3 linked regions of the Oryctolagus cuniculus genome follow. The protein of the gene in region 2 purifies or fractionates together with the protein of the main gene of each other region. This does not show direct contact. Links are inferred from orthologs where the notes say so. Each region holds a gene or a part of one and is shown on either strand. Other genes may lie near its edges.

What was found. Proteins that work in one complex are often made in the same cells at the same time.
Region 1: the proteins of IPO4 (region 2) and ASF1A purify together in Homo sapiens (affinity purification with mass spectrometry; 4 studies listed by BioGRID and IntAct, counting the BioPlex papers as one, with this or other methods). This does not show direct contact. The link is inferred for Oryctolagus cuniculus from reciprocal best matches to the Homo sapiens genes IPO4 and ASF1A.
Region 3: the proteins of IPO4 (region 2) and ASF1B purify together in Homo sapiens (affinity purification with mass spectrometry; 5 studies listed by BioGRID and IntAct, counting the BioPlex papers as one, with this or other methods). This does not show direct contact. The link is inferred for Oryctolagus cuniculus from reciprocal best matches to the Homo sapiens genes IPO4 and ASF1B.

What each region holds. Positions count from the first base shown.
Region 1 is NC_091436.1:51,471,155-51,476,985, forward strand, and holds the start of ASF1A (histone chaperone ASF1A), read right to left. Parts: upstream 3,541-5,831; coding exon 3,432-3,540; intron 1-3,431. UniProt on the Homo sapiens protein: Histone chaperone that facilitates histone deposition and histone exchange and removal during nucleosome assembly and disassembly.
Region 2 is NC_091443.1:51,019,832-51,024,447, reverse strand, and holds the end of IPO4 (importin-4), read right to left. Parts: coding exon 4,604-4,616; intron 4,527-4,603; coding exon 4,469-4,526; intron 4,379-4,468; coding exon 4,273-4,378; intron 4,202-4,272; coding exon 4,008-4,201; intron 3,913-4,007; coding exon 3,865-3,912; intron 3,568-3,864; coding exon 3,442-3,567; intron 3,337-3,441; coding exon 3,128-3,336; intron 3,025-3,127; coding exon 2,892-3,024; intron 2,818-2,891; coding exon 2,713-2,817; intron 2,271-2,712; exon of another isoform or gene 2,213-2,270; coding exon 2,143-2,212; intron 2,049-2,142; coding exon 1,918-2,048; 3' UTR 1,707-1,917; downstream 1-1,706. Other genes in the region: meiotic recombination protein REC8 homolog, read left to right, coding at 235-301, 395-528, 634-682, 932-998, 1,117-1,248, 1,320-1,426, 1,520-1,611. UniProt on the Homo sapiens protein: Nuclear transport receptor that mediates nuclear import of proteins, such as histones, RPS3A, TNP2 and VDR. Serves as receptor for nuclear localization signals (NLS) in cargo substrates.
Region 3 is NC_091447.1:62,993,420-62,999,284, forward strand, and holds the start of ASF1B (histone chaperone ASF1B), read right to left. Parts: upstream 3,541-5,865; 5' UTR 3,428-3,540; coding exon 3,319-3,427; intron 1-3,318. UniProt on the Homo sapiens protein: Histone chaperone that facilitates histone deposition and histone exchange and removal during nucleosome assembly and disassembly. Cooperates with chromatin assembly factor 1 (CAF-1) to promote replication-dependent chromatin assembly.

The DNA of each region.
Region 1 (5,831 bases), on a different chromosome or scaffold from region 2:
GCACCTCTTCCCATCCAGCTCTCTGCTATGACCTGGGAAAGCAGAAGATGGCCCAAGAGGTTGGGCCTCTGCACCGGTGTGGGGGGCCTCTGCACCGGTGTGGGGGGCCCCTGCACCGGTGTGGGAGACCCGGAGGAAGTTCCTGGCTCCTGGCTTCAGATTGGCAAAGCTATGGCCATTGGCGGCCATTTGGGGAAGAGAACCAGCAGATGGAAGACCTTTCTGTAATTCTGCCTCACAAATAAATTAATCTTTTTAAAAAATGTAAAGATAAATCTCCCCTTGCTCTCAAATTAGTAATAGAATTAGGGACTTAACTGTAAGGGGAGTGGGAGATAGAGAACAGAGGAATGGGGAAATAATCAAGCCCTAACAAGTACAAGATGCAACTGAAGGAAGGCCTGGACACTGATTTTTAATCTCATGAGAAGTTTGCTTTAGCTACTTTCAAATGTTTGGTGCTTTTTAAAATTAGCATCTTTTTTTTTTTTTTTTAAAGCTTAGTTTTCATTTCCCTGCCTCCTATATTGGAAGGAGGAAGAGATAAGGTCAAAATTTTCCCTAGGCTTTCAGCTGAAGTAGTTTATTCATTTGTTGGAAGTTAACTAATTGTTTCATTTAATCATGATAACCCTTCCCTGAAAGTATCTCCTCATGTGGGGGGAGTGAGAGAAGTTAACAAGGAGATTTTAAGCTAATTACATTCCTTGAGAAGACCTATGGTCTAGTGGGAAGAATGCAGTCTTTGGAATTAGAGTAAGCCTGAAATTTGAAAATATGAAGCACTGTGCTTAATTCTGGTACATTGTAAGAATTTTGCCAACAGTAGCTATAAGTTGGACATATGTAGTAAACTTGAAAGTTTGCTTGAAGGGAGGTCAGTCAAAACTTGTGTAGGCCTGATGACCATCAGATCAAGCACAGGAAAGCTTGTGCTTAAATCTTGACACCTGGTTTTTCAAGGAGGATGTTAGAAACATCCAAATTATCTTAAGAGCAAATACTACAGAAGGCTTTTTATGAAAGCAAAGCTGCAAGGGCAGCTTTTAAAGAAAAGTGGGGAAAAAAATAGTGGCTGAACTCTGGTTTGGGACTTGGATAAACAGCTTATAAAGTGAAAAATTTTCTTAAGAATATTCTGTACTTTAATTTCAGGAAATGATTTTTAATAAAAGAAGTACAATATAAAATTATGGAGCCTATGAAGAGCCATTGCTAACTATTTCCTTAATCCACACAGCCTCTAGGTGGAGTACATAGGCATGGCACCTTTTTGAAAGATTCCTTTGCAGCTTCAGTATGACTCAGCTTAAATTTTTTTTATAAAATACTAAATAAATGCCCATTAATGGTACCCTTGAAGTGTGGGGTACCAGTGGAAGTAGGTGTATTCTTGACATTATTATTGTAAAAAGCTCAATGCGACCGAGCTGGGTTTGGGATACCAATTAAAGATAGAATATAGTTTGGCTACTATGAATGGAAGGTTTCCGCTACCCAATATAAAAGTCCTCTAACAGCATCTTGGTATCTGTCTTGTTCTGGGTTGATCCTAAAATGGAAGGCATCACTTCAGAAGTATCTGTAGTTTGAAGATCTTCTGATGCCTAAAACATTGTAGCATAGGTTCTTATTTGCCTGTTTTCATATGCAATTAGCAGTAAAAAAAAAAAATACTGATTATGGGGACTGGAAAATGGGCCTCCTGGCTGAGATGGTTACATGGTATAGTAGTGCTAAGAGAGAGTAATCAGATGGCTTCAGAATAAGAAAAAATGCCCTTTAATTTGATTATCAATGACCTAGGTAGAGATTAGTTTAATAAGTGAGTCATCTTTCTGACTACACCCTACACATAAAATTTATGTGCACTTATGCTTTACATGTTATTAAAACAGAAAGGCACATATTATAATGTTAAGTTTAGGGAGTGAAATGGAGGAAGGCAATGAGCAGGGACTGTTACTTTATGTCTGCACAACTTTTAAAAGTTTTACAGTGAGCATATATTGTTTTTATAATGAATGTTAATACACCACTAAAATACACTTCAGACTAAAAACTAATTTTTAAAATGAAAATGCTTTACATGATTATCCTAATAATTTTAAATATACTTTGTCAAATACATTTGTAAATTCAAGTATGTCTCCCTATTTAATTGTAAAATTTACACTGATAAAGTTAAATTTTTTTCCCCTCAAATTTTGAAAATGAAGCACTGGACTATTTTAATAAAATCTGAAAAAAGCAAAGCTCAGAAATTACCAAGTTCTGGCTTTCTAAACACTTTATTACTGCACGAATTAAAAACGTTTGTCTATTTTTGAAGACCTTAAGAAATACTAAAAAAATTGCATTTGCCATCAAGATTTTACTTTTTATTTCTTAGCCCACGTTGTGTGATATGTTAGGGTATATTCTGTATTTGAATGTGGAGTTTTAATTAGATTCTTGAATAAAGTCTTCGTTCAGACTATTTAGCAGCATGGTTAAATCTTGGAAAATTTTTTAAGGATCTCATTCATGTTTACTCGGGTTTAAATGTAACTTTCCAGCATAGCAATATTTTCCTCCCTGAGAGAGGAGAGAGGTTTTCGTCAATGAGGAAGAGGAGTCCACGCCGGTCCCGGAGCCTGCGCGCCAGCATCCCCAGGCGCCCCGAGCATCCCCAGCAGGAGAGCCGGGGAGGGCCCGCGGCCCCCGGGGAGCCCGCGGCGCGGAGGGGCCGAGCCTGCGCCCGCCTCCCCTGCTGGTTGGTCGAGGGAGCCAGGAATCAGCGCGAGGACAGCCTCGCTGCCCTCCCCGGTGCGGCTGGGCACGACCAGCCGGCGGAGAGGGGCAACTCGGCCGTGAGCTGCAAACACGGGTTTGCCTCCGGCTGTGGGTGGGGGGGCAGGCAGGTGGGCCGGCGCCGCGCCGCGTCCGTCACCGCCGCGGGGCGCGAGGAGGCGTCGTGACGCCGGGGTCGCCGGCCCAATTCTCAACTCGGGGTAAGATGGCTCCGCTCCGAACTCGCCGGCGCGACCCCACGCGCGCGCGCCTGCCCCTGCCCACCTCCACGCGGCGGCCGGGGGGCGCGGGGGCGGTTCGTACCGCGGAGCCAGCCCGGCGCGACCTCCCGGCCGGCGCCGCGGGCGCGAGTGCGGGTCCCGCGAAACGCCCGCCCGCCAGACAAAGCTGACAACATGGCTACCTCCGCTCGAACAAGTTCCTCGCAAGTTGAGCCGCGGCAGGCGCCTGGGCTGCGGCTGGAAGCCGCGCGCGCCTGGCCGGCCGTCGTCCATCAACTTCAAGTTTCCCTCCGCAGAGCCGAGCCCGCAGCCCGCCGGGCGCCGAGGGCGGCCGCCCCGCGCGAGGCCGGGCCCGGGAAACTTTCAACGTCTGCAGCCCGCAACTGACAGCCCGGGCGGGCGGGCGGCGCGACTCACCTTCAGACAGGTCCTCGATGCACTCGAAGGTGATCTCGAACTGGAACGGGTTGTAGAAAGGAGAAGGGTTATCCAGCACCACTACATTGTTCACCTGAACCTTTGCCATATTTTGAAAAAAACACAAACAATGGGAGCGGGGGCTTGTTGCGGCACAATAAAGTCCAGCCCGCGGCCGCTCGGCAGAGCGCAGACCCCCGCCCCGGCGCCGGCCCGACGTCGTGCAGCGGCGACTTGAGAAACTTTTTTTTTCCTCTTTTTATTTACACGAGAGCACTCCACAGTGTTTTGCAGCTTTCCTATTTCACTAAACTACAGCCCATTCTGCTCTGATAACTAGCAGCGTTGCTCGCGATTGGCTGCACCCGAGCTCTGACCCTCCTCCTCCAGCGAGGGCCTCGGCTGCGAGCAAGATGGGCTCCCGCTCCCGGAATGGACTCGGAAACTTTAACTGCGGCTCCACCTGCTGGTGTGGATTAGGACAAAGGCGGAGAACAAAGTGAGTGGAATACGGGCTGGGAGGCCCGCGCGGAGGCCGCCGCCGGCGGCGGGGGGAGGGGCGCGCAGGCCCCGCCCCCGGCCCGGCGACTCCCGCGCCTCACGTCGGGCGTGGCCGCGGCGGGGACGGGGGGCGTGGCCGCGGCGGGGAGGCGCGAGCGCGGCGACGCCCGCCCCCTGGGTTTGCTGCTGTCTGGTTTTTGGGTGGCGTGGGTTTTTTTTTTTTTTTTTTTTTTTTTTTAAGCACTCCTATACATCAGTGCAAAAGGCTTTGTTGACTCTGCTCAGTTTTATCAGATAAGATGCAGTCGTCTACACCAGGTTAGATTCAGCTGTGAGTTGGGTGGTATTTGGAGTTGAGAAAAGGGTTGGTTGCAGTGGAAATAAATTGCATTTTATAGGCCGATGTCAGCTCGAAAGGAGCAAAGCCATTTTGGAAATCTAGTTCTTGGCTAGTATCTACGCTTGGGCACGACAGCGCCGTTACTTAAGTAGACACAAAATGAAAGGAGAGGAGATGATTTTACACACTTTGCTCGGTAAATTTAAGTGGGTAATCTTGGGCTGCACCTGGTTATCTTCTGCCCATTCCATAGCTCTAGAAAGAAAAAGAAAAATTACAGGAGAGGTGATCAGTTACACCTCAGGCTTGTGTTGTTTGGGGAGCATAGCAGGAACATAAAAGGAGAAAATGGAAGAGTCGGGAAACCAAAAGGGCGGCACAGTAGAGAAGGGAAAAAAACAGGAAGGAATATCACTACTTTTCATCTTCAACAGTTTATGACCTAAGCCGTTGGACATAATTCTTGGCTGGACAGATTCTGAGGTCTGAAATGAGGACATGTGAATAGCTTTATCTGTTTGCCTACCCTTGTGGGGAAATGGGGGAGCTTTTATCATGCTCTTGAGCTTGGAGTCTACTGAGTAAGGGTGGAAAAAGGTTTGTTTCATTCCGTGCAGTTCCTAGCTATTATTTTTTATTTAAGTGTTGAGATTGAAACCCCCAAACGCCCAAATGACTCAATCCAGACTGAAAATTACTTTGTCATTGAGTTATTTCCTAAGTATCATTGATGCTATAAGGGCTTCCTCTCAGCATAGTGCCCAGAATTTTGATTTGTCATTCTTAGCATGGTTCATATTTAAGGTACGTTGCTTATGGTGGGACAGCTTCATCTGATAGTCTTTGGAATGAACTTGGGACAGTTAATATTAGGCCTGCCCACATTCAAGAAAAGTAGTTGGGGGAGAGGAGTCAGATTTTTTTTTTTTTTAATAATTCAGCAGTTAGGTAGAACCTACCGAAAGTTTCTTGAACCCTGTTGTTTCTGTTCATTAAAGTGAAAGTCATTGTGTGGTAACAGACACAGTTTACTACAGGTGATAAAACAGCACTCTTATTAATGTTGGTCTTAATGGTGGCTAGGATAAAATGGAGATTGCTGTATGCACTAAGACATGTTGGATACATGAGATAAAATGACCATTTGAAGATTAGAACATGACTCCTTTGAGACTGGTGTATGCAGATGTCTGATTATTGCAGTCATTGTTTAAAAAAAAAATCTTTGTGTATTTATTTTTCCTTGTTTCAAAGGCAGAGAGATCTCCCATCTGCTAGTTCACTCTCCAAATGCCCACAGCAGCTGGGTTTAGCCATGCCAAAGCCGAGAACCAACTAGGAACTTACTTTGGGTTTCCCACCTGTGTGGCAGGAATACAACTACTTGAGACATCTGCTATCCCTCAAGATAGCATTTCCTAGAATTGCAAATAAAGCTGGCGCTTGAATCCAGGAGCTGTGATATGGGATGTGGGCATTCCAAGCAGCATCTTAAACTCTGCAGCAAAGGCTTGACCATATTGCAAGCACTGTTAAGAGGAAATTCGGGGGCCCATGTT
Region 2 (4,616 bases):
AGTGCGGCCCTGGGAGGGCACAGGTGTGGGCTGGGGGCGGGGCCTGGGAACCTGATGTGGGTTTGCACCTCCACAACTTGCCGTGCTGCGTCCGCGGCCCCACCTGGCACATTCACAGGCACCCGGTAGTCCTTTAGCACGAGCAGGGCAGGCAGGCTGTAGTCTGGACAGGTAGGTGAAGGGGCGCCGAGGCGTGGCTTGCTCCTGAGGCTCCTGTCTCCTGCCACCACGCAGCCCATGGTGCAGCCTCCGGAGAGGACCATCACAAGCCCCACGGAGCTGCTCCGGACCCCGACGTACCGTAAGGAGGGCGGGGGTTGGGCGCAGGGCTCTTCAGGACCGAGTCCTCCCTCTTGGTGACAGGGCTCTGTCGCCACTGCCCCTTCCCCATCAGCCGGCCGGCTTCCCCTGGAACTACTGGCTTTGTGGACCCGCTGTGCCCAGACCCCCGCAAGAGCGCTCAGGCGAAGGCCGCCCGAGGAGGTGGAGGAAGAGGAGAGAAGGGCTGAGGCTGTCAGTGAGATCGAGGTACCCACACCCCACCCCTCCGCCCCCGCCCAGCGCACGCTGCAGGCTCACTGGCCCCGGACGCTCGTGAGGCCGGGGTCTGAGTTCTCCTCCTCCCGTCTCCAGGTCCTGAGGGAAGCCCAGGAGCCCAGCGGTCCCCTCATGGTGTCTTCAGGTAAGCTCGGGGGAGGGGTCTGGGCCCGCCCGTGGCCCAGCTGTGAGGGACTGGGGTGAACTAACGCAGGGCACTCTCCAGTCCTCCCGCCCGGAGGGGGCTTCCCGAGCCTGTGGGAAAGCGCTGATAAGAGAGAACACAGCTTTTCCCAAGGCAGCACACAGCACAGACAGCTGGTCTGGCTGGGTGCCCCAAGGCAGACTGCTCAGTGCCAGTCACACTCCCCTGGGCCCCCTGCCGCCCCCACAGAGCTCTCCCTGGAGCCCGCCGAGGAGGAGAAGTCGCGGATCAGCCTCATCCCCCCAGAGGAACGCTGGTGAGAAGCCAGGCTGTGTAGGCCCAGCCTGCAGTGTAGCCACCGGCTAGGATGGGCGTGCCCTGATCCCAGCCACAGCGCCGCCTTCCAGCTCCACTCAACTCCCATGTCTCCCTAGGGCCTGGGCTGAGATGGAACAGCCAGAGCCCCCGGCGTTGCCGGTGGTGCCGGAGCTCCCAGAGGTGCCCTTGGAGATGCCCTCCGAGCTGCCACCAGAGCCTGAGCTGCTGTCCCTGGAGGCTGTGCACAGGTGCTGGGGTGGGGGCGCCTCCGTGGGGAGGGCCAGGCTGGGGCCTTGCTCACCCTTCTCCATCCCTACAGGGCAGTGGCACTGGAGCTGAGGGCCAAGCGGGAGCCTGACTTCAGCAGCCTGGTGTCCCCGCTCAGCTCCCGCAGGGTGGCTGCGCAGGTCTTCTACCTGCTCCTGGGTGAGTGCTGGCCGTGTGTGCACACGGGGTGGTGAGCCCCCCGCACAGGGCCATGTGGGGACTCCTGCCTGCCCTCTTCTCCCTCCTGACCAGTGCTCGCAGCGCAGCAGATACTGCATGTGGAACAGAAGAAGCCGTACGGGCGCCTCCTGATCCAGCCAGGGCCCCGGTTCTACCGAGGGTAACGCCCATTTTACAAAGCTGCCAGGAAACTAGCTCCATTAAACCATATTCTGCCTCACTGGGCCCTGCCTGCTTCATTTCTGAACACATACCTCTGTCCAAGCAGAAAACAAGCTGCCTTTATTACGGTATGATGTCATGACTCCACTTGTGACAAATCCAGCTCCAGGGACACCCCTGTAAGGCAGCAAGCCGGCTGACTCAAAGGAGATCGACTCTTTGGTAAGGTGCAAGCTGGAGCTGGCTTGAGAGGTGACCTTAGGTCCTGGGCAGGCTCTGTTCTTTCGGGCCTGGCTGCAGCCTGCAGTCTAGCTGAAACCCAGCAGGGCCTGGAGCTCCTGAGCCTTGTCAGCTGGCAGTGAGCCCAGGGCTGTATGGAAGCTGTCGATGTGCTGTTTGGCCAGGAACGTCAGGAGCAGCAGCAGCGCGGCCTTTGTGTCTGGGTGGACAGTGCAGAGGGAGAGGTCCAGGCCCCTAAGCCCTGGCTGCCCCAAGCTCTGGAGCCCCGCCACCCCCTCGCCAGCCACCCTCACCTGGTGGGATCTTGTTTTCCGCCAGAGTGACGCTACAGATGCGCAAGAGCTCAGGAGCCACATCTACGACCTGTAAGGACAGGCAGTGTCCCCCAGGGCTGCTTGAGCTGGGGCCTGCCTCACAGGCACTAAAGGCAACAACAGAGAAGCAGCCATGGGGCAGGTGGCTAAGCATCGCTGTGGTCACACATCTCACCCCGCCCCGCCCTCCAAAAGCAAGGGCGTTCCCAGCACAGTGGTCTCCAGGTGTACCACAGGCGTGCTACAGCAACACCAGGACATCTGGCCGAATCTAGCTACGTGCTTTGAGCTGAGATACATGAGGTGCCCAGGGCTCTTTCTAACTGCAGCCCAGTGAGCCCTGTCTAGAAGTCAGCCCAGGAAAGCTTCAACTTGTGGCTTCCACCAGAGGGTAGAAATGGAGCTGCTGAAGGAGACACACTCAGAGGAAGGAAGCATCGCCTCTCCCTCCGCAGAACAGGCTGCCACTACTCACAGACAAACCAGACAGGGCTAAGGACACTGAGACTGTCATCCTGCGCCTAGTACCAAGACGCCAGCATCGAGTACCTGGTCAGGGCTGCTCTGGTACAGGAAGCTGAAGAGGTGGCCTATAGTGACCCACTCCTCCAGGTCCTCCTTCAGTGGCAGGGCGTGCAGCAGGGCAGCCAGCACCTGGACACACGGAAGCCTCAGGCCACCTGCCCTGCCCTCCCCGTCCCTCCCTGGCCTTGATGCCCCTCCCTTACCTGAGGCTCTGGTTTCCTCGTGGGACTGGCCATCAGCAGGCGGGCGAGTGCTCCACAGATGTTGTCCCGGACACGATCTTGTCGCTCCCGTGCCAGGAGGGGTAAAAGGAGCCCCAGCAGCTTGGGGAAGTGTCTGATCCATAGTCAAGGAATGGGCACACACGCAGACCTCACCCATCCCTGAGCCCTGGGGACACTCCCACACCTTCAATGTGTGCTCGGCAAGCCAAGGATACTCCTGAGCAGGGCGGCCCCCGTGCTCTGCCAGCACGCCGAGCCCAAAGATGGCGTTGCTCCGTACCTCGGGGTCTGCCTCCCGGGCGGTGCTCATCAGCACAGGCAGCAGCCGGGACACAAACTGAGCTGAGGCCGAGCCCAGGCCCTGGATGGACTCCGCCAGAGTCCCGACGGCAAAGGACTTCTCGGCCACCGAGCAGCCCTGTTTCTGACGGGGGTGGGTGGGGAGGAGTGCAGATCAGCCTTGGGACTGGGACACACGGAGGGGTAGTCATGGGAGGACTGCAGTTTGAAGCCAGAATGGAGCACTCACTGTCTTGCAGAGCAGCAACGGCAAGAAGCCAGCAAAGAAGGGCGCAAAGGCATCTCCCCCCGCCGCGGCTGCCAGGGCAGGGATGGCCTCTCCAGCGTGCTCTAGCAACATGGCGTCATACTCAGCCTGCGGAGCCAGGTCAGGGGCTGGAGCTCCAGGCCAGTCTCCCCACCCTGCCACTGACCACAGGTGATCCTGCAGCCGCCCAGTGGCAGGACTGGCCCAGCTCCTTCCTCCGCTCCCCCACTCCCACCTACCCCTCCAAGCCCATCCCACTGCCCTCCTTACCTGGAGCCCTGCTGGCTGAGTGGGGTCAGGGTTTTGTCACTCTGGCCATCACCAATCACTTTAGCAGCCTGGCTCCCCAGGCCAAGCAGAGTGCACCATCCACCTAGCCCCTGGGGGACCACCTGGAGTTCTCACCTGCTCCTCCTCCTCTTCCTCCTCCTCCTCAGGGTCCTGACAGGCTGTCTGTGGGCAGGGGCAGCCGCTTAGCCAGGCCCTCCCCAGCCCTGAGTGCTCTGAGCAGCCCCAGCCCTGTCCCCGCAGCGCACCGCCTGCCTCACCTTCCTCTGCAGCACGGCCTTGAGCGTGGTGCAGAGCTCGGCGAGGCGCCCGGGCGGCTGCAGCGTGAGGGCCCCGCAGCCACGCAGCACCCCTGTCAGGGCCTCCAGCACAGCCATCACCACCTGGCGCTCCTGCTCCCTGCTCACCGCCTGCATGTAGGATGGCACCACCCGCGCCAGGGCAGCCTGCAGAGCTGGGGACATTACTGGCGGTCAGGCCCTGTGTCTCCCCCAGGGCCCCCACCCGCCAGCCTCCCGTTCTCACCAGCAGTGTTGGGTTCTGATGGGCACCTCTGACAGGCCTTGTGCAGCGCACAGCAGAACTGGCCCAGAGCCTCGTGGGCTGCTTTGCGCACGTTCAGGTGAGGACACTGGGACGAGAGGTGGGTTACACCGCTGTGTGCACCATCAACATGGGCCCCCCAGCCTCTGCACCGACCCCACTGCCGCAGCCCACTCACCTCCAGCAGTCGGAATACTTCCTCAAAGGCGCTGTCCATGTACGGAAGAAAGGCCACGCTGTGGACAGACACACAGCTGTCGGGGAGGGGCCCCGGGCGCGGGCGGGGGTTTCGGTGCCAGAGGGCCATGCTCACCTGGTGTTCACGG
Region 3 (5,865 bases), on a different chromosome or scaffold from region 2:
TACCACGCCTTACTTATCTGGAAGGCAAATCGAAGGTGGGGGCGGGGGTGGACATCTTCCAACTGCTGGTTCGCTCCACGGATGCTTCACCAGCCAGGGCTGGGCCAGGCTGAGGCCAGGAGCCAGGGGGCCAGGACCCCAAGGGGGCGCCCACATAGGTGCCAGGGGCCCAAGTGCTGCCTCCCAGGCGCACTGGAGTGGAAGCAGAGGAGCCAGGAGTCAGCCCGGCACTGTGACGCCCGGCACTGTGACGCCCGCCCGCGCGCCTGTGCCAGTTTATAAAAGGGACTGAGGACTTGGATGTCCTTGGGGGGTCTAACAGATACAGAAGGCGAAGGTGTGCAAACCTTTGGGGTCAGATATGGAGGGTGGGGAGACCTGGTACAGTGGGTGGGGCTCCTGATTCCACTCCCCGCCTACACGCACCCTGGGAGACAGTGGTGATGGCTCCAGTAATGGGGTCCCTACCACCCACGCGGGCGACCTGGATGCAGCGCCCAGTCCCAGCTGTTGCAGCCATTTGGAGAGTGAACCAACAGATGGGAGACCTCTCCATCTCTCGCTCAAAACAAAACAAAACAAACCAGCACTGGACATGGGATATCAATCACCAATTCAGGGCCAGCACTATGACGTAGCGGGTGAAGCCACCGCCTGCAGTGCTGGCATCCCATATGGTCGCCAGTTTGAGTCCCGGCTGCTCCACTTCCAATCCAGCTCTCTGCTGTGGCCTGGGAAAGCAGTGGAGGATGGTCCAAGTCCTTGGGCCCCTGCACCCACATGGGAGACCAGGAAGAAGCTCCTGGCTCCTGGTTTCAGATCAGCACAGCTCCAGCCGTTGCAGCCATTTGGGGAGTGAAACAGCAGATGGAAGATCTCTCTCTGTCACTCTCCCTCTCTGTAACTCTATCTTTTGAGTAAATGCTGATGGAAGAACTCCCTTCTCTCTGCCTCTGTGCCTTTCAAGTAGAAGAAATCAACCATTAAAAAAAATATAAAAACGCATAAGGGCCAGTGCTGTGGCCTAGCAGGTTGAGGCACTGCCTGCACCACTGGCATCCCACAGGGGCACTGGTTTGAGTTCCAGCTGCTCCACTTCTGATCCGGCTCCCTGCTAATGTACCTGGGATAGCAGCAGCGGATGGCCAAGGGTTTGGGCCCTTGCACCCACGTGGGAGACCTGGATGGAGCTCCTGGCTTTGGCCTGGCTCAACCTTGGCCGTGTGGTCATCTGGGGAGTGAACCAGCAGATGGAAGATCTCTCTGTAGCTCTGCCTTTCAAATAAAATAAGTTCTTAAAAAAATACCTACCAAATACAGGACATAACTGTATACACACAGTCTATCTAACTTCTGAACACGATTAAAGGCACGTCAATTACATTTTGTTCTGATCCCCAATTTTACAGGCTGAACCCCGCACAGGATACACCTCTACTCCGTATGACAACAAATGCAAAGCCAATGCTATGATTAAACACACGTTAAGAAAGTGATGGCCGGTGCTGTGGCACAGTGGGTTAAAGCCCGGGTCTGCAGTGCCGGCATCCCATATGGGTGCAAGTTCGAGTCCCGGCTGTTCCACTTCCGATCCAGCTCTATGCTATGGCCTGGGAAAGCAGTGGAAGATGGCCCAAGTGCTTGGGCCCCGGCACCTGAGTGGGAGACCTGGATGGAGCTCCTGGCTCCTGGCTTTGGATCTGTGAAGCTCCAGCCGTTGCAGCCATCTGGGGAGTGAACCAATGGACAGAAGACCTATCTCTCTCTCTGTAACTCTACTTTTCAAATAAATAATGAAACAAATATTTAAACAAGAAATCATTGTCGTTGAAGAATCTGTTTCCCATTTGTATTTATCTGGGAGTGACAGAGGAGAGAGACAAAGGCAGGCGATGGGGGGGTGGGGGGCAGAAAGAGCAGGATCTTCTACCCGCTGGTCCACTCCCCAAATGCCAACAGCTGGAGGTGGGCCAGGCCACAGCCAGGCGCCTGGAACTCCCCGTGGGTCTCCCGCGTGGGCGGCAGGGGCGCACAACAGCGCGCAGCAGCAGGAAGCTGGGTCGGAAGCTGCGCGTCCAGGACTCCAGCCGAAGCGGCGCTGCGATCCGGTGACCAGGCGGTCCGGAGCCGCAGTCTTCGAGCCGTACTGCCCGTGGCCTTGGCCTCGCGGGGCGCCTGCTGTTTCAGCTCCCTGAGGGGCTCCCCCGCTCCCCGCAAGCACACGCACCCCTGATGTACTCCGTGCGGCCCCTGGGAGTCAGGGGGCCCCCGACTGGGGGCTGGGAGAGGAAGAAGGAACTCAGAGGCGCCCCACACCAGGGTTGCCCAGGCTCCTGTCCCCAGACATCACGGCCCCAGCGACGCCCCGCCCCCCGCCCGGGACGCGCAGGGGGTCAAGGCGGGGGCTTGGCTCCTGGGCCGCAGGGCCCGGGGCGTCGCAGGCACCCACTTCTCAGATAGCGCCTGCTTTTAAAGCAGGCCTACGGCACCCCACCCGCGTCACCTGGGAACTCAGACGAGGGGCCCCTCGCCTCTCCTGCCGGCCTTTAAAGCGAGTCTCAACCCCCGCCAGCTTACACTTTTATTTCCGCCCTGCGTGTCCCAGAGAGCCTCCAGCCGGCTTACTCCACAGTCAGCCACAGGCGGCGGCCGCCCCGCGGGCCACCCCCCTGCCACCCAGCGGCCTCCCCGGCTCCGCCCTGGAGCTGAGCGCTGGGTGCACGCAGGCCTTGGCCCCGGCTGACCCCGGCGTGCGCAGGGCCCGGGGCTCCGGGTGGCTGCTGTGCCCTCCCGTGCGCCACGACCACCACCCCGCCGCGGGCCCCGGGCGCGCCCACCGCCCACCGGACGGCGTCGGGATAGGGAAGCCGCGGGAAGCCGGTCCGGGGCGCGCCCACCGCCCACCCAGGCCCACGGTCGGACCGGGAAGCCTCGGGAGCCGGGACGCCCCTCCACCGCCACCCCGGGGGTCGCAATGACCCCCGGACGCGGTCATTTAAACACTGGGCAGGGCACGGCTGGGGCGGACACGGGGGCGAGGAGGGCGGCAGGGGTGGGGAAGAGGCAGGGGGCGTGGGGGTCTCCGCCGGTGGATGCGCCTCTATCATTAGGAAGCGGTGCCTGGGAGGAGCGCCATTGCAAGAGAGGGGGGTCCTGGGGTTTGGGAGGGGGCGATGGGGGAGCGGGGGGGGCTAAGCGGACGGAGGGAGGGGGCCCCGGGGGGCTTCGGCCTGGCCACGGGGCGGCTCTCCACGGGGAGGTCGGGGTCAGGGTCGGCCCAGGGCTGGGGTGGGGGTCTCCGCACGGGTCCAGCCTCACCGTCCGCCAGGGCCTCACTGCACTCGAAGCTGATCTCGAACCGGAAGGGGCTGTGGAAAGGGCTCGGGTTCTCCAGCACCGACACGTTCAGCACGGACACCTTGGCCATCGTGTCGCCGGGAGCCGGGGTCGGGGGAGCGGGCAGAGGGGCAGCGTCACCGGCGGCCGCTCCCGCCTCCTCTCGCCGCGGACTGCAACGCGCACCGCGTCCGCGCGCCGCCTTCAAATCGCCGGCTCCGCCCTCTAGCCAATCACCGCAAACGCTCCGCGGCGGCGCGAGCGCCCCGTCAGCCAATCCGCGAGCGCCGCTGGCGCGCGCCCGGACTCCTCAAACCAATCCGCGGAGCTCCCTCTCCGCACGCGCGCGAGGGAGGCGGGACCAGCTGTGGGCTTCTCGCGGGGTGGCCGCGGGGAACCAATCCCCAGCGTCTCCGACTCGGATGGCGGGGGCGGGGATGGGCGGAGTCAGAGCCCGGCTCTCGGCCAATCCTGAGGGTTCCCGCACAGGCGGGGCCCGCCCCTTCTCGCAGCTTTTCCGAGAGACGCATCCTTGAGGGAGCAGCACCGCCAACGGCCGAGCGGTGGCGCGCGGCGCTCGCTTAAGAGCGTGGGAAGGGCGGGTACTCGCGGCCGCCGTGATTGGCAGGCAGGAGTGGGGCGGGGATAAAGCAGGCTTTTGGAGACCTAATTGGCTGAGGTGGCTGTGGGGGCGGGAGCAGAGGAAGGCGTGTCTGAGGATTCGCGGGAGAGGAGCGGAAGTCGGGGGCCGGCGCGGTGGAGGAGGCGCGGCGGGGATGCCGGTGCGTGTGTGCAGGTGGGCGTTTCGGGCCGGGGGCTCCGGCTGCTGAGGCCGTGCGCGGCCTGGGGGGTCTGCGGTGAGCGGACGCGGAGTCCCGGCCTGGGGAGTGGCGGTTCGGGTCCCGCTCCCGCCCAGTCAGGGACCGGACGGCTGCGGGGCCAGGGCCTAGGCGATCGTATTTCCAAATGTGTTATGGTGCATCCGAATTCCACCCCGAGCAGAGTTCTTAGCACGATGTTTTCTAGGCGTTTAACTAAACATTTATTTATTCTCACCTTGGTGAATTTTTTTTTTTTTTTTTTTTTTTTGCGCCGTCCGTTCCCGACCCCGGGGAAGGCCGTACCGGGGACTCCGTCTCCGATGCTGGGAGGAAGAGGAGCTGGCTGCGTGATTGTCGCTGAACCCCAGATCCCAGCGCCAAGCCCCAGAGGCGTATCCTGCTTAGCGGGGAACCGAGATCTCTGCAGTGGGCCCCGAGGCCCCGTCTCGCGCCTGTCACCCTCCCCGCCCTGCCCCTGCCCACCCCCGGGCTCCCTCCTGCTGCAGGGCCTTGTGCTCCCTCTGGGGCCGGCGCTGTGGCGCAGTGGGTAAAGCCGCCACCTGAAACACTGGCATCCTATATGGGCGCCGGTTCGAGTCCCGGCTGCCCCACTTCCCATCCAGCTCCCTGCTGTGGCCTGGGAAAGCAGGAGAAGATGGCCCAGGTGCTTGGGCCCCTGCACCCGCGTGGGAGACCCAGAGGAAGCTCCCAGCTCCCAACTTCCAGGCGTTGCAGCCATTTGGGGAGTGAACCAGCGGATGGAAGACCTCTCTCTCTCTGTCTCTCTCTCTCTCTCTGCCTCTCCTCTCTCTGTGTAACTCTGACTTCCAAATAAATAAATATTAAAAAAAAAATCCAGGATTGTGTGCTGTGTTGTACAATTTCACAGAAATGTTGGCAGCCCGGGCCTGACACCAGGCCTGTTTGCAAGGCTGGCCAAGGCTGGCCCTCGGATGGTGTCTTCCCGCCCCCTGAAGGCTGAGGGCCTGAGGCTTTGTGCGAGCTCTGTGGTCTGTGTGGAATGCCTCCTTTCCAGCCGGAGTCTAAAGCTGGGGCTCCCGTGTGGCAGGGGCCCAGGCACCTGGGCCGTCTTCCACTGCTTTCCCAGGCGTATTCACGGGGAGCTGGGTCGGACGTGGAGCAGCCGAGGGCCTGGGGGGACTGTCCCGGCGCCCGGCTGGGATGCCAGCCCCCGCAGGCAATGGCTTCACCCGCTGTGCCGGGGCCGCAAACGCAGCTCTTGCACGTGCAGCTGTGAGGATCAGAACGAGACGAGACGAGATGAAGCGGAATGAGCCATCTGCCGGGACTCAGAGGAGCCGGGGTGGGTGGCTTCGGGAGAGAAAGCAGAGAGGTCTGTGGACGGGTTTCATCGCCCGCTCACCCCTCGGGACACCTGCGGTGTTTTCCATCGTGCGCAGGTCCAGGCAGGGCTGCGTCCTACGCTGGCTTGTGCTGGCATGCAGACATTTCTCACGGGGGTGGGAACCTCTTCCTTCCAGGGCCTGTTCCATGTTAATGACATCATCCGTAGGCCATACAAAGTGATCACCTGCGATCGTTGTATCCATTTCACAGGCAGCTGGGGTTAGGGTATAGCGGGCAAAGCCGCTGCTCCACCTCCCATCCAGCTCCCTGCGAATGACCCGGCTTGGAAAAACCAGCGTGAAATGGCCCACATGCCTTGGCCCCTGACAACCAGGTGGGA